Anolis sagrei: one gene and its partners. The protein of the gene in region 1 purifies or fractionates together with the protein of each later gene. This does not show direct contact. Links are inferred from orthologs where the notes say so. Each region holds a gene or a part of one and is shown in the gene's direction. Other genes may lie near its edges. The genes, in order: IBTK, RPP25L and EIF4A1.

Region 1 (5,379 bases):
ACCAGACCTGCAAAAACTTCAGCCCTCCAGGTATTTTGGACTTCAGTTCCCACAGTTCCTAAGCAGTGATTCTCAACCTGTGGGTCCCCAGATGTTTTGGCCTTCAACTCCCATAAATCCTCAGAGCTGGTAAACTGACTGGGATTTCTGGGAGCTGTAGGGCAAAACACCTGGGAACCCACAGTTGCTATTAGTTGAAACCACTAATAGAAATTGTGGGAGTTGAAGTCCAAAACACTTGGAGGGCCTTCAAAGTTTGCCCAGGCCTGGTCTACACTGTAGAATGAGTTCAGTGTGGTACCACTCTAGATGCCATGGCTTAATGCTATGGAATCCTGGGAAGTGTGGTTTTTACAAGGTTTCTTAGGGCCCTTCCACACAGCCCTAAATCCCAGATTTAAGGCAGAAAATCCTACAATATCTGCTTTGAACTGGGATTATGGCAGCGTGAACTCGGATAATCCAGGGCCCTTCCACACAGCCCTATATCCCAGAATGTCAAGGCAGAAAATCCATTTTTTTTCCAAAAAAGTAACATAGTTGGTTTACTTACAAACTTCATGCGTTCAGCATACAAGTACATAACTTGTCAATCCAGTTATAGATAGGTTTGAAGTAGTTTCTCTGTGCAGATAACACAGGGCATCTTTCTTAGAATCAAACAGCAACAGCTTTACATTCTGAAAGTCTCATGAAGTCTCAGTCTGAATAGTCCCAGATCTGATCACATGGTCTGCAGCCCCTCCCACAACCTCAAACAACATTAGAGTAAGCAATCTGAATTATACCTTAAGAAATGGGGCTACAAAGTGGAATCCACGACATGCGAGTGTGGAGAAGAGCAAACCCCAGACCACCTGCTGCAATGCAACCTGAGCCCTGCTACATGCACAATGGAGGCCCTCCTTGCGGCAACACCAGAGGCACTCCACGTGGCCAGATACTGGTCAAAGGACATGTAATTAACTACCAAGCTTGCAAACTTTGTGTTTTGTCTGTTTTGTTTGTTTGTTTTGTTAAAAATGTAATACAACTGTCTGGTTGCTCCTGACACGATAAATAAATAAACAAACAAATAAATCTGAATTATATACATAACTAATCACTAGTATAGGAGGCTTGTAGAAAGTTGCTATTTCCAACACTTCGAGGGACTTAACTTAAGAAGTTTGGGGGACCCTGCTGTAAAACTAACACAATTTGACAGCCATGGCTCAAGACTATGGGATCGTGGGAGTTATAGTTTCCGAAGCATCACCATTCTTTGGCAGGGATGGCTAAAAACTTTGTAACATTTGTCGAATTTTCTTAGGGCCCTTCCACATCCCCATATAACTCAGAATATGAAGGCAGAATAACCCACAATATCTGCTTTGAACTGAGGGCCCTTCCACACAGCCCTATATCCCAGAATATCAAAGGAGAAAATCCCATATTATTTGAGTGTGGACTCAGATATTCCAGTTCAAAGCAGATGTTGTGGGATTTTCTGCCTTGATATTCTGGGATATACGGTTGTGTGGAAGGGCCCTTGTCCAGAGGAGGGCGACTAAAATGATCAAGGGTCTGGAGAGCAAGCCCTATGAGGAGCGGCTTAAGGAGCTGCGCATGTTTAGCCTGAAGAAGAGAAGGCTGAGAGGAGATATGATAGCCATGTATAAATATGTGAGAGGAAGCCACAGGGAGGAGGGAGCAAACTTGTTTTCTGCTTCCCTGGAGACTAGGATGCGGTACAATGGCTTCAAACTACAAGAAAGGAGATTCCATCTGAACATGAGGAAGAACTTCCTGACTGTGAGAGCCCTTCAGCAGTGGAACTCTCTGCCCCGGAGTGTGGTGGAGGCTCCTTCTTTGGAAGCTTTTAAACAGAGGCTGGATGGCCATCTGTCAGGGGTGATTTGAATGCAATATTCCTGCTTCTTGGCAGGGGGGTTGGACTGGATGGTCCATGAGGTCTCTTCCAACTCTTTGATTCTATGATTCTCTGCCAGAGTGATGGTCCATTCCCAAACTACAAATCTCACGATTCCATTAATTAACACTGAGCTAGAGCAGTGAAAGTGTTGTCAAACCGCATCCACTGTACAATGCAGATGGCTCCTTATACTTTCACTGCCATGGGGCCAGGAAGCTTTTGGGCCTCCTTAAAAGAGAGGAGGTAGCCATGGCAACGGTATGTGATGGAGCTTTTGGATTCAGAGCCGCTGAGGGGAGGATAAGCCCCGCCCCTTTTCTGTGCCTAGCCCCTCCCCTTGTCCTCCCTTCCCCTCTCAGTCCCTTTTTTGACTCTTGGCAGCTTCCAGCCAATCGGCGTTGGGGAAACTCCGCGCCAATCGCGTGTCCGCTTGCTTCCGGGTCTGGGCGCCTCCTCTCTTGCTGGGTTGCAGCCGTGGCGGCTTCCTTCTCGGGCCCTGTCAGACTGGGCAGCATCGGCCCCTGTCTTCCCCGCCTCCAGCCCGGCCTTCTTCTCCTTTTCCTCCTGCTCTTTCTCCTCCTGGCTGGGCCCGGAGCCCTTCGGCGCCACTGAGCATGAGCTTCCCCGCCTCCCTCCGCAGCCCCGCTGACGACCGCCCGAGCCCATTCATCTAGCGACTGGTGAGGGCTGAAGGGAGTTGGGGGGGGGGGGGCTGTGGGGGAGGCATGGCTCAAGACCCCTGGGATTTGTAGTTTGCCAGAGGTGGATAAAAGCCTTGCAGAACTATAACTCCCAGGAGCCCATACTCTTAAGGGGTGATCAAATTATTCATTCTATACTATTCAGCGAAGGCCTGGGCAACCTTCGACCCTCTAGGTCAGTGGTTCTCAACCTGTGGGTCCCCAGATGCTTTGGCCTTCAACTCCCAGAAATCCTAGCAGCTGGTAAACTGGCTGGGATTTCTGGGAGTTGTAGGCCAAAACACCTGGGCACCCACAGGTTGAGAACCACTGCTCTAGGTGTTTTGGACTTCAACTCCCACCATTCCTAGGCATTGTGGGAGTTGAAGTCCAAAACACCTGGAGGGCCAAAGATTGCCCAGGCCTGGCAAAGAAGAAGGAGGCAGCCAGGACTTTGTACAAGGCTTTGGGGGAAAAGAATAAACACAGACTTCAGAATTAGAAATATTGCACTTTTAACCCAATGTGTAACCTGAGCATTCATGTAGCTTGGCTGTATAATTATCTGGATGATGCCACCACATGATAGAAGTAAACAGCTGTTAAGGATATGCTGGTGACCAAAAAGATGAGTCTCCAAGCTGAGAAAGGTTCAAAGTCTACAGAGAGGCAAAATTGTTATCGCTTTAACTTGAATCTAATGCTCAGCTTTTTGGACTAAAATTAGGGTGCTCAATAGATTTGTGCAATACAGTAATCTTTGGGCCCTTTTAGACAGGCCCCACACCCCAGGACCGAATCTCAGATTTTCTGCTTTAAACTGGATTATATGAGTCTACACTGCCATATAATCTGGGATAAAAAGAAAACCTGGGATCAAATCCTGGGATATAGGGCCTGTTTGTAAGGGCCCATTGTGCCGAGTCAAAGCAAAAGGGGAAGCTGTTTCAGAGGGCCCTTCCAGACAGGCCCTATATTCCAGGATCTAATCCCAGGTTGTCGGTTTATCCCACATTATCTTGCAGTGCGGAGTCATATAATCCATTTTAAAGCAGAAAACCTGGGATCAAATCCTGGGATATAGGGCCCGTCTGGAAGGGCCCAGAGACACCCGGAGCTCCTATTTGAGGGATGCCATTTCAAATTTTATGGCCGTGGTTCAATGCTCTGCAAATCCTGGGCTTTGTAGTTTGGTGAGCCACCAGCATTCTTTGGCAGAGAAACTTGCAAAACTACATGATTTCATAACATTGAGCTATGGTCAGTGTTTATTTGGTTCTGCATGTTTCTTCCAGTTCAACTGAGCCATTCAGATTTAACTACATTGAACTGGATTATATAGAAGTGTAGATTCAACCTGTAATCCAGTTTAAGACAATTAATCTGAATTCAGAAACTGGATTATATGGCAGTGTAGATTTCTTCTAGTTTAAGAAGTTCTGCTTTAGATTTCATCATCATAAATGCTGGACTTAAGCAAGGCTCACTGCTCTTTTCTTAGGCAGTGAACACTGAATTTCTCCAGAAGTCTTTGCATTGTAATATCTGGAAGATACTGTATTTACTCCAATCTAATGCTCACCTTTTTTTGGCTAAATTTCCTTCCCAAAATTAGATTTGTGTAGTATTCACCTGCAGCTCCTATTTGAGGGACATCATGTTTAATTTAATTTAATGCAATGCTGGGATTTGTAGTTTGGTGTGGCATCAACATTCTTTGGCAGCCCCCATTATCCCATACTATAGCCCCCATGAAACCATAGTATTGAACCAAGGAAGTTAAAGTAGATTCATTCTACAGCATAGATGCACTCCAAGGTTTCCCTTTCCATCTCTGGAAGCTTTGATATTCCAACACTTTTGTTTTTAAGGGTTTTGAAAATAGAGGTGTGCATTAGATTTGATGATGCCATAGACTCGTTTATTTATTTATTTATTTATTTATTTATTTATCGTGTCATCAGCAACCATACCATTGTATTACAATTCTAACAGAGCAAAACAAACATATAGATTAAAAAGAAAAGGAAAAAAAGAAAAGAAAACACACAGATTTTGCAAATTTGGTAGTTGGTCAAATGTCCTTTGACCAGTATCTGGCCACTTGGAGTGCCTCTGGTGTTGCCGCAAGAAGGTCCTCCATTGTGCATGTGGCAGGGCTCAGGGTGCATTGCAGCAGGTGGTCAGTGGTTTGTTCTTCTCTGCACTCGCATGCCGAGGATTCCTGTTTGTCACGAGCCATAGACAAATGTATGTTCCTTCTCAACCGGGCTTTGGACAGCTCTGTGGGAGGCAGACATTCAGTAGGTATAGATCTGCACAGTTTTGGGAAAGTAGAGCTGTATGAGTTGAACTTTTATACTTCATATGATATGGGTTTATCATTTGCATTTCATCTAGTTTCTTGAAATTTGTAGAAATTATGCCTGGAAGATGAGGATTAATGTCAACAAATATGAGAAGAAGGAGGAAAAACAGTAAACAGTGGTCCTAGAAAGCCTGGTACAGGTTGAACAGCCCATATCTTGAAATCTGAAATGCTCTGAAATTGTCCAGATGGGTGTCTGAGATAGTTGCACCTTTGGTTTCTGATGGTTCACAACATTCAAGCCTTGTTTTATTCACAAAATGATTAAAAACACCATATATAAAATTATGAGTCAAGGCTCCCTTATATTGAATTCTGAAATGCTCTAAAATCCAAAATTGTTCACATGGGTGGCTGAGGTACTGTCACCTTCAAATTGTCAACCTACTAATAATGGCACCTTTGTTTTTTTGATA
Region 2 (5,379 bases), on another chromosome or scaffold:
AAACCATATATACACACACACAAACACACATATATGCATATACACACACAAAACACATACACAGAAAGGAGGAAAGGAGGAGAGCAGAAGGGAGAGACGGAAGGAAAGGAGGAGGGGAGGAGACAACGAAGGAAAGAAAGAAGGGTAGAGAAGGAATGAGGGAAAGAAAAAGGGAAGGAGAGAAGGAAGGAAAGAAGGAAGAGTAGAGAAGGAAGGAAGGAGAGAAAGAAGGAGGGGAGGGGAGAAGTAAGGAAGGAAAAAAAGGATAGAGAAGAAATGAAGGAGAGAAGGAGGGAGAGAAAGAGGGAAGGAGAGAAGGAAGGGTAGCGAAGGAAGGAAGGAGAGAAGGAGGGAAAGAAGGAAGGGTAGAGAAGGAAGGAAGGAGAGAAGGAGGGAAAGGAGGAAGTGAAGGAGAGAAGGAAGGAAAGAAGGAAGGGTAGAGAAGGAAGGAAGGAGAGAGAGGAAGGAGAGAAGGAAGGAAAGAAGGAAGGGTAGGGAAGGAAGGAAGGAGAGGAGGGAAAGAAGGAAGGGAGGAGATAAGGAAAGAAGGAAGAGTAGGGAAGGAAGGAGGGAGGGAGGGAGAGAAAGGGAAGGAGAGAAGGGAGGAGAGAAGGGAGGAGATAAAGAAGGAAAGAAAGAAGGGTAGAGAAGGAAGGAGGGAGAGAAAGAGGGAAGGAGAGAAGGAAGGAAAGAAGATAGGGTAGAGAAGGAAGGAAGGAGAGGAGGGAAAGAAGGAAGGGAGGAGATAAGGAAAGAAGGAAGAGTAGGGAAGGAAGGAGGGAGGGAGGGAGAGAAAGGGAAGGAGAGAAGGAAGGAGAAAAGGGAGGAGATAAAGAAGGAAAGAAAGAAGGGTAGAGAAGGAAGGAGGGAGAGAAAGAGGGAAGGAGAGAAGGAAGGAAAGAAGGAAGGGTAGAGAAGGAAGGAAGAAGAGAAGGAGGGAAAGAAGGGAGGAAGGAGATAAAGAAGGAAAGAAGGAAGGGTAGAGAAGGAAGGAGGGAGAGAAAAAGGGAAGGAGAGAAGGAAGGAAAGAAGGAAGGGTAGAGAAGAAAGGAAGGAGAGAGAGAAAGAAGAAGGAGAGAAGGAAGGAAAGAAGGAAGGAAGAAGAGAAGGAGGGAAAGAAGGAAGAGAGGAGATAAAGAAGGAAAGAAAGAAGGGCAGAGAAGGAAGGAAGGAGAGAAGGAGGGAAGGAAGAGAGGAGATAAAGAAGGAAAGAAAGAAGGGCAGAGAAGGAAGGAAGGAGAGAAGGAGGGAGAAAAAAGAGGGAAAGGAGGGAAGGGGAGAAGGAAAGAAAGAAAGGTAGAGAAGGAAGGAAGGGAGAGAAAGAGGGAAAGAAGGAGGGAAGGAGAGAAAGAAGGAAGAAAGGAGAGAAGGAGGGAATGAAATAAAAAAGTGAAAGAGGGAAGGAAGGAGAGAAGGAATAAAAGAGAGAAAGAAGGAAGGAAGGAAGGAAGGAGAGAAAGAAGGAGGGAAGAAGAGAAAGAAGGAAGGAAGGAGAGAAAGAGAGAATGAAATAAAAAAATGAAAGAGGGGAGGAAGGAGAGAAGGAATAAAAGAGAGAAAGGGGAAGGGAAGGAAGGAAAGAGAGAAGGATGGAACCAAAGAGCAAAGGAAGCGAGGAAAGAAACAGCTAGAGAAGGAAGAAAGAAGAAGGGAAAGAAAAAGAGGGATGAAAGGAAGGAGAGAAAGAAAGGAGGAGAGAAAGAGGGAGGGAAGGTTGGCCATAGCAAGGCATGGCAGGTATAGCTAGTGTCTTATAAAATCCAACAGAAATCATCTGAAATTTAGAATTAGGATTTTGAATTAAATTTCCCAACACGCCCCCTGGAGGCCGGCTGAGCAATGTACTCCTTCAACCGAGGGGCGTGGTCTTGCTTGGCGGTTCGTCCAATGGGAAGGCGGGGGCGGGGTTTCGCTCCTCGCTCTGCGCGGGGAAACCTCTCTTCCTGGCTTCTCCTCTGCGTCATAAGGAGGCGCCTGTGACGCGCATGCGCGGAAGAGCAGCCGGCTCTGTAGGAAGCAGGAGAGGCGCCATTTTTCCCTGAGCGCCCTCTGAGCAGGAAAGCAGGCAGGCAGCAGGTGAGCGGGAGCGGAGTGGGGCCTACACCATACCGAGAGAACTTGTTGTTATATTATTACTGTTATGTTTATTATTACCGTATGTTTTTTCTTTCCACAGAAGAGACTTCAAGTCTATATATAATCATAGAATCATAGTCCAACCCCATTCTGCCAAGAAGCAGGAATATTGCATTCAAATCACCCCTGACAGATGGCCGTCCAGCCTCTGTTTAAAAGTCTCCAAAGAAGGAGCCTCCACCACCATATAATATAATATATAATAATATAATATTATTAATAATATTATGCGTTTTTCCACAAAGGAGGCTCCAAGAGAGATATTGACTCTAAGCTGGAATGTGCCCAGAGGAGGGCGACTCAAATGATCAAGGGTCTGCAGAACAAGCCCTATGAGGAGCGGCTTAAGGAGTTGGGCATGTTTAGCCTGAAGAAGAGAAGGCTGAGAGGAGATATGATGAGGGCCATGTATAAATATGTGAGAGGAAGCCACAGGGAGCAGGGAGCAGATCAAGGGTCTGGAGAAGAAGCCCTATGAGGAGCGGCTTAAGGAGCTGAGCATGTTTAGCTTGAAGAAGAGAAAGATGAGAGGAGACATGATGAGGGCCATGTATAAATATGTGAGAGGAAGCCACAGGGAGCAGATCAAGGGTCTGGAGAACAAACCCTATGAGGAGCGGCTTAAGGAGCTGAGCTGAGCATGTTTAGCTTGAAGAAGAGAAGGCTGAGAGGAGATATGGTCAGCGCCATGTATAAATATGTCAGAAGAAGCCACAGGGAGGAGGAGGGAGCAAGCTTCCTTTCTGCTTCCCTGGAGACTGGGACGCAATGGAACAATGGCTTCAAATTACAGGAAAGGAGATTCCATCTGAACGTGAGGAAGAACTTCCTGACTGTGAGAGCCGTTCAGCAGTGGAACTCTCTGCCCCGGAGTGTGGTGGAGGCTCCTTCTTTGGAAGCTTTTAAGCAGAGGCTGGATGGCCATCTGTCAGGGGTGATTTGAATGCAATATTCCTGCTTCTTGGCAGAATGGGGTTGGACTGGATGGCCCAGGAGGTCTCTTCCAACTCTTTGATTCTATGATTCTATGAAACCTATATAATATATAATAATAATTTATTAATAATAACATGTTTATGTTTTTTTCCACAAAGGAGGCGCCAAACCTATATATATATATATATATATATATATATGAAACATTATAAAACATAATAAACATTGTGTGTGTGTATATATATTTATATGTTGTTTATTATGTTTTATGACGATGATTATATTTATTTATTATGATTATTTTCCACAAAGGAAGCTCCAAACCTATATATATGAAACATCATAAAGCATAATAAACATTGTGTATATGTGTGTGTGTGTATATATGTTGTTTATTATGTTTTATGACGATGATGATGTTTGTTTATTATGCTTTTTCTTTCCACAAAGGAAATTCCAAGCCAGTTTATTTATTATTATTTTTCCCACAAAGGAGGGTCCAAACCTCTATCTATCTATCTATCTATCTATCTATCTATCTATCTATAATAAACACTATATATATATATATATATATATATTGTTTATTATGTTTTATTATGATGATTTATTATGTTTTATGATGTTTCATATATGTGTGTGTGTGTGTGTGAAACATCATAAAACATAATAAACATTGTGTGTGTGTGTGTGTGTATATATATATATATTGTAATGTTTATAACAATGATTATGTTTATTTATTATGCTTTTTCTTTCCATAAAGGAAATTCCAAGCCAGTTTATTAATTACTATTTTTCCTACCAAGGAGGTTCCAAACCTATATATATATATATATAGTTTATTATGTTTTATTATGATTTATTATGTTTCATATGTGTGTGTGTGTGTGTGTGTGTGTGTGAAACATCATAAAACATAATAAACATTGTATGTGTGTATATGTGAATGACTCGGGACTATGTCTGTTCTTGTTTTTATTGTATTTTAAAGTTAATTGTATTGTTTTAATCTACTGCTGTAAACCGCTCCGAGCCAAATTGGGAGTAGCGGTATACAAGTCAAATAAATAAATATCTCTGTGTGTATATATATTTATATATTGTTTATTATGTTTATGACAATGATTATGTTTATTTATTATGCTTTTTCTTTCCTTTGTGGAAAGTCAGGAGGTGCTGTGGTTTTTAGCTTTAAATATGTTTTAATGGATTTTAACTGCAATTTTGTTAGTACCGTTACGTTTAATTCTGTTTTAATATTTGTATATTTTAAATTATGTGTTCATACTTTTAATGTAAGCCGCTTTGAGTCTCCTTTGGTAGAGATAAAGGGAGGTATATATAAACAACAACAACAATAATATGTATATATGCAAAATTCATATTGCTTGTCCTAGCATTAGACACTAACATTCTGATTAGATGTTTAAGTTTTCTTTTTCTTCTCTTTGCTTGATATCAAGTGTTGATCATGGAGAACTATCAGAAATCCAAAACGGTGGAGAAGCCTTCTCCTCTTCCTTTCGCCAACTTGCCCCCTGATATCATTGAGATGAAAGTGAAGGATGGCAGCAAAATCCGGAACCTGATGGGTTACGCCATCGGCAAGATGGAGTCCGAGGCCATGAGGCAGGTCCTCTTCAGCGGGGTGGGCAAAGCGATTAGCAAGACGATCACCTGCGTGGAGATCATGAAGCGGAGGATGAAGCACCTCCACCAGATCACCAAAGTGTTCTTCAAGCAAATAGAGGAGATTTGGGAACCCATCGTTCCGGAGGTTGGCCTCGACCCTTTGACGGTGAAGCGGAACATCCCTGCCATTTGTGTCCTGCTAAGCAAAGACCCCCTGGACACTCAAGCGCCGGGGTATCAAGCCCCGGGGTCCTTCGATGCCTTCTGGTTGGAGACGCTCAAGTCGGAATCTCAAGGCCAGGCCAAGAGGAAGCAGGGAGGAGGAGGGAGAGGGGCTGGCCGGACTGGGAAGCATCCTCGCTCCCTCGGACGGGAGGACTCCTACAAGAAGCCTTGAGGAAGCTGAGCTTCCGAGTGCCAGGAATTGTCTCCAGAACCAAGAAAAGCCAGATAGCTTTCACCTTAATGTTGGAAACAGTGAGAGTGGGAAGTTACATCGAGGGAGTGGGGGGAAAAGGGCAGGTGTGTCTGTTTGAACGCAAATACCAAGTCATATTGGATGGATTGAACATGAAGGTGTTCTAGCTTTGAGCCTTTCCCTTACAGAGAGTTTTCAGTTTACGTTTAGAAGCAGTGAGAGATGGAAGATATATTGGATAGAAGGGTCTGTCT
Region 3 (5,379 bases), on another chromosome or scaffold:
AAATTGGAAGTAATGTTGCAATGGACCAGATTGATTAGCATTGAATGGCCTTGCACTGTCAAAGCCTGCCTGGGGGAATCCTTTGTTGGGACGTGTTAGCTGGCCCTGATTGGGTTAGCTGGGCTTGCTATAGGTGTGGATGAAACGTCAGGAAGGAGAATGCTTCCTGACAGACCAGAAAACTCACAACAACCCTTTAAACACAAGCTTTCACTCCAGAAATTAAAATTGAAATCAGGGAGGATGCTGTTGCTGCCACTCTCCATCCCAGCACTCTATTTCTATAGAGGCCAACTACAAGCATATTATGCACTACCCCTTGAGTACTATAACTCCCAGGATTCCGACCATAAAAGCCTTCGACAACACATTGGCCAAAGAGTATTGACCAGTGGCTCTCTTTCGTCCTGGAGAAAAGTGACCAGTGGTATAGACCACATTGGGGTTGTCTCCTGCTGTTAGGAATTGTGGGAGTTGAAGTCCAAAACACCTGGAGGGAGAGCCGAAGTCGGCCCATGCCTGCATTAAAAGGCACATCTACACTGTAACACTAATACAGTTTGATACCTCTGGAGTCCTGGGGAGTGTAGTTTGGTGAGAGAAAGCTCAAGGCCTTGGGAAACTACAACTCCCAGAACCCCATAGCATAGAGCTATGGGCATTTGAAAGGCTATCATGCTGGATTGGAAAAGAATGGGAACCCTTTCCCATGCTGATGTTGGACTACAATTCCCAGAATCCCCCAGAAGATCCTGGGAATTGTAGTTCCTATTTGCAACAATTCCTATTTGGACTACAATTCCCAGAATCCCCCACTTCCTATTTGGACTACAATTCCCAGAATCCCCCAGAAGATCCTATTTGCAACAATTCCTATTTGGACTACAATTCTCAGAATCCCTCAGTTCCTATTTGGACTACAATTCCCAGAATCCCCCAGAAGATCCTGGGAATTGTAGTTCCTATTTGCAACCATTCCTATTTGGACTACAATTTCCAGAACCCCCCAGAAGATCCTGGGAATTGTAGTTCCTATTTGCAACAATTCCTATTCGGACTACAATTCCTATTTGGACTACAATTCCCAGAATCCCCCGTTCCTATTTGGACTACAATTCCCAGAATCACCCAGTTCCTATTTGGACTACAATTCCCAGAATCCCCCAGAAGATCCTGGGAATTGTAGTTCCTATTTGCAACAATTCCTATTTGGAGTACAATTCCCAGAATCCCCCAGAAGATCCTGGGAATTGTAGTTCCTATTTGCAACAATTCCTATTCGGACTACAATTCCTATTTGGACTACAATTCCCAGAATCCCCCGGAAAGATCCTGGGATTTGTAGTTCCTTTTTGCAACAATTTCTATTTGGAGTACATTCCCAGAATCCCCCAGTTCCTATTTGGACTACAATTCCCAGAATCCCCCAGAAGATCCTGGGAATTGCAGTTCCTATTTGCAACAATTCCTATTCGGACTACAATTCCTATTTGGACTACAATTCCCAGAAACCCCCAGTTCCCATTTGAACTACAATTCCCAGAATCCCCCAGTTCCCATTTGGACTACAATTCCCAGAATCCCCCGGAAGATCCTGGGAATTGTAGTTCCTATTTGCAACGACTGGAACCCTTCCTAATTTGGCCCCCCACAAAGAAGGGCCTCTCCACCACGTGGGCTTTTTCCTCTCCTGGCCTGCTTTGGGGCCTACTCCTTCCTCCTCGCCTCCCATTGGCTACCTCCTTTCCCGCCCCTTCCTGACAGGCGCGGCGGAGAGCCAATCAGCGTCGCCTTTCTCCTCCTTGACGTCACGTCTCCAGCTTTCTCAGTAAGCCCCGCCACTTTGACGTCACCCAGTTCCGGCGATTCAACCAATCAGCGCGAGTCTCCGTCAACGCCTGACGCGGGGTGTGTTTTTTTTTTAACAGGGCAGCCAATCAGAGAGAAGCCGGTCTAGCTGACGGGCAGTGCGATGGTCCAATAGGAGGAGGGGAAACAAGGGGCGGGACTTAGCCTGCGGGCCAATAAGGGAGGGGCCGGTGGGCGGGACTAGGCGGCTGTTATAAGGTGGAGTGAAGCGGGCGGGGCTAGGACCTTTCTGCCCAGAATGTCTGCGAGTCAAGAGAGCCGGTGAGTGAGCGCGAGGGAAGGCTCTTCCCTTCTCCCCCTCCCCCCCCCTCCGCGCTAGGCCGCGGCTGTTCCTTCTTCCTTCCATCCTCCCTCCGCGGTGGAACAAACCATTTCCGCAGTAGGTGGGATAATATTAGAAATCCCTCGTTATTCCTATTTTAACAATCCTGGGTGTTATTATTTTGCTTTTGTTTCATTTTCGTGACCTTTTTTTCATCCTTTGGCCTTAAGTTCCCTTTTCTTCCTGACCACGTGGCCGATTCCTTTCCCTCCCGCTTTCCCCCCCTAAAAACGGATTGGACTCTCCCTCGCCCTTTTAGTCCCTTATGGACCTCTGGGCGGAACCATTTCCTTTCCGGGGGTGGTGGTGAGAAAAAATAGAGGAGAGGTAGGCCTCGAGCGTTGGCGCGGCCTTCGCCTTGGCCTATCTCCTCGGCGCCATTTCGCGCATCGAGGGCGCTCTCAGTGGAGTTGCAATCCCACCTCGCCCCGCATTTCGCGCACCCACTTCACCCCCATTTTTGAAATAGTTTCGTCCCTTCCTTTTGCTTTCCTACATGGCGGACGAATCCATTTAATTTCGAGGGTGCCCTTAGTGGAGTTGCAATCCTCCCCATTTCTAAAATAGTTTCGTCCCTCCCGTTGATTTCCTACATGGCGGACGAATCCATTAAATTTCGAGGGTGCCCTTAGTGGAATTGCGACCCCCCTCCATTTCTAAAATAGTTTCGTCCCTCCCGTTGGCTTCCTACATGGCGGACGAGTCCATTTAATTTCCGAGGGGGGTTGTTTATTATTTTTAAATTGTATTTTCCACTTTTTTTCGTGGAATGTGCACGGCGTCGCTTCTCCTTTCCCCCACGCGAGGAGCCATTTTGCGTCTCGTTCTTACACAACTTTCTCGTTCTTACACAATGGTTCCTTTCCCCCCATTTCCAACTCTTAACCCCCCCTTCCCGGAACATTTGGTATTTCCCAGCGCCGTGTTTCTTTGGGGCGCTTGGGCGAGACGATTCCTTTATACCGGGGGATCCTCATTTCCAACTCTTAACCCCTCCCGGAATATTTGGAATGTACCAGCGCCTTGTTTCTTTGGGACGCTTGGGAGAGACCATTCCTTTATAGGGCGAGACCCTCGTTTCCAACTGTAATCCCCCCTCCTGGAGGATTTGGTATATCCCAGTGCCTTGTTACTTTGGGTCGCTTGGACGAGACCATTCCTTTATACGGGGAACACTCAGGCGAACCTATTCCCGATCCCCCAACTCTACCGACCCCTCCCGAAACACTTGGTATTTCCCAGCGCCTTGTTTCTTTGGGACGCTTGGGCGACACCATTCCTATATACGGGGGACCCCTCATTTCCAACTCTAATCGCCCCTCCCGGAACATTTGGTGAATCCCAGTGCCTTGTTTCTTTGGGACGCTTGGGCGAGACCATTCCTTTAAACGGGGGACGCTCAGGCGAACCTATTCCCGATCCCCCAACTCTACCCACCCCTCCCGAAACACTTGGTATTTCCCAGCGTCTTGTTTCTTAGGGACGCTTGGGCGAGACCATTCCTTTTTAGGAGGACGCTCAGTTCGACCCCTTCCGCCATTCTCCAATGAGAAAACCCATTTTCCACCTCTTCGTTGGAAATCATTTCTTTGGGTCGCTTGGGCGAGACCATTCCCTTAATGGGGAGGCACGCTAAGGCGAAACCATTCCCGAATTCCTTCTCTAATGGGGAAATCCAATTAGTTGGAAATTGTGAATCCTAGAATCTCCTTTTCCCATCTCTATTCTCGAATGGGAAATTCCATTAGTTGTGAATCCTAGAATCTCCTTATTTTCCCCTCCCCCCCCCCTTTTTTTGGGCGCGTCCATTTTTTCCTCTCTCCTTCCATTGCCCATTGTCCTGCCGCTCTGCATCCGGGAACTTTTCGGCTGCCCGTGACGTCACGCGGCCCCCGTGGCCGCAGGCGAGCAAAAAAGGGCGGGGCCTCGCTGGCCTTATAAGGAAATTCCGGAAGTGGGAGGCGCCGCAGAGGCCTCGAGCCCCGCGCGCTGGGAAAAGACCCGGATGTCAGGAAGGAAGGGCGCGAGGCCGGCGGAACTTCCGGTCTGGGAGGCCCAAAATGGTGTTTTCGGGTCAAAAATGGCGGCAGAGCTGTGTTGCCACCTTCGAGGGCCAACTATATCGATGGGAGAAACATAATTCAAGAGACTGAAGGCCCTGGGGGTGTTTTGGACTCCAATTTCCATCATTCCCAGCAGCCTCAGAACTTTTTCAGCCAAATTGGGCCCTGGGGGTGTTTTGGACTCCAACTCCCATCATTCCTAGCAGCCTCAGGCCTTTTCCTTTTCCCCTCAGCCGATATTCCACAGATATATCATAGAATCATAGACTCAAAGAATTGGAAGAGACCTCCTGGGCCATCCAGTCCAACCCCATTCAGCCAAGAAGCAGGAATATTGCATTCAAATCACCCCTGACAGATGGCCATCCGGCCTCTGTTTAAAAGCTTCCAAAGAAGGAGCCTCCACCACACTCCGGGGCAGAGAATTCCACTGCTGAACGGCTCTCACAGTCAGGAAGTTCTTCTTCATGTTCAGATGGAATTTATTAACATAAAAGCTCAAAAAATACAATATATCATAGAAATCATAAAACACTAACATATAAATACATTCAATAAGCTGTTAAAAACAGTACACATAGACCTGAAAACACTCCAGAAGCCGTTCCAAAACACTAACATATAAATACATTCATTAAGCTGTTAAAAACAGTACACATAGACCTGAAAACACTCCAGAAGCCGTTCCAATCGCAACGCCGTCACTTCGTAGCTGCCTATAGCCCTGTGCTACACTCCAAATGCCTGGTTCCATAACCAGTTTTTAACTTCCTTTCTAAAGGATAGGAGGGGAGGGCACAATACAATACGTATGTGCAGATTGTCCAGACAGGAAAATAGAAGATAAGGAATTGACAAGAATGTAGCCTTGATCTTAAAAGGAGAAAAAACAATGGCCTGATGGAAAAGCAATATAATTGCACCAAAGATAATAACATTGTATAGAAACAATGATGACAATGGTAATAACTGAGAGGCTGAGGGGGGAAAGGAAAGGGCCTGAGGCTGTTAGGAATGGTGGGAGTTGAAGTCCAAAACACCCAGAGGGCCAAATTTGGCCCATGCCTGGTCTATATTGAGGGACACCATAGTCTGATTGTCCCTTGGCAGCTAATTCTCAGTGTT

What was found.
Region 2: the proteins of IBTK (region 1) and RPP25L purify together in Homo sapiens (co-immunoprecipitation; 3 studies listed by BioGRID and IntAct, with this or other methods). This does not show direct contact. The link is inferred for Anolis sagrei from reciprocal best matches to the Homo sapiens genes IBTK and RPP25L.
Region 3: the proteins of IBTK (region 1) and EIF4A1 purify together in Homo sapiens (co-immunoprecipitation; 4 studies listed by BioGRID and IntAct, counting the BioPlex papers as one, with this or other methods). This does not show direct contact. The link is inferred for Anolis sagrei from reciprocal best matches to the Homo sapiens genes IBTK and EIF4A1.

The regions. Positions count from the first base shown.
Region 1 is NC_090021.1:108,202,214-108,207,592, forward strand, and holds the start of IBTK (inhibitor of Bruton tyrosine kinase), read left to right. Parts: upstream 1-2,333; 5' UTR 2,334-2,595; intron 2,596-5,379. UniProt on the Homo sapiens protein: Acts as an inhibitor of BTK tyrosine kinase activity, thereby playing a role in B-cell development. Down-regulates BTK kinase activity, leading to interference with BTK-mediated calcium mobilization and NF-kappa-B-driven transcription.
Region 2 is NC_090022.1:300,717,359-300,722,737, forward strand, and holds the start of RPP25L (ribonuclease P protein subunit p25-like protein), read left to right. Parts: upstream 1-1,994; 5' UTR 1,995-2,076; intron 2,077-4,538; 5' UTR 4,539-4,546; coding exon 4,547-5,104; 3' UTR 5,105-5,379. UniProt on the Homo sapiens protein: May be a component of ribonuclease P or MRP.
Region 3 is NC_090026.1:3,280,963-3,286,341, reverse strand, and holds the start of EIF4A1 (eukaryotic initiation factor 4A-I), read left to right. Parts: upstream 1-2,055; 5' UTR 2,056-2,107; coding exon 2,108-2,130; intron 2,131-5,379. UniProt on the Homo sapiens protein: ATP-dependent RNA helicase which is a subunit of the eIF4F complex involved in cap recognition and is required for mRNA binding to ribosome.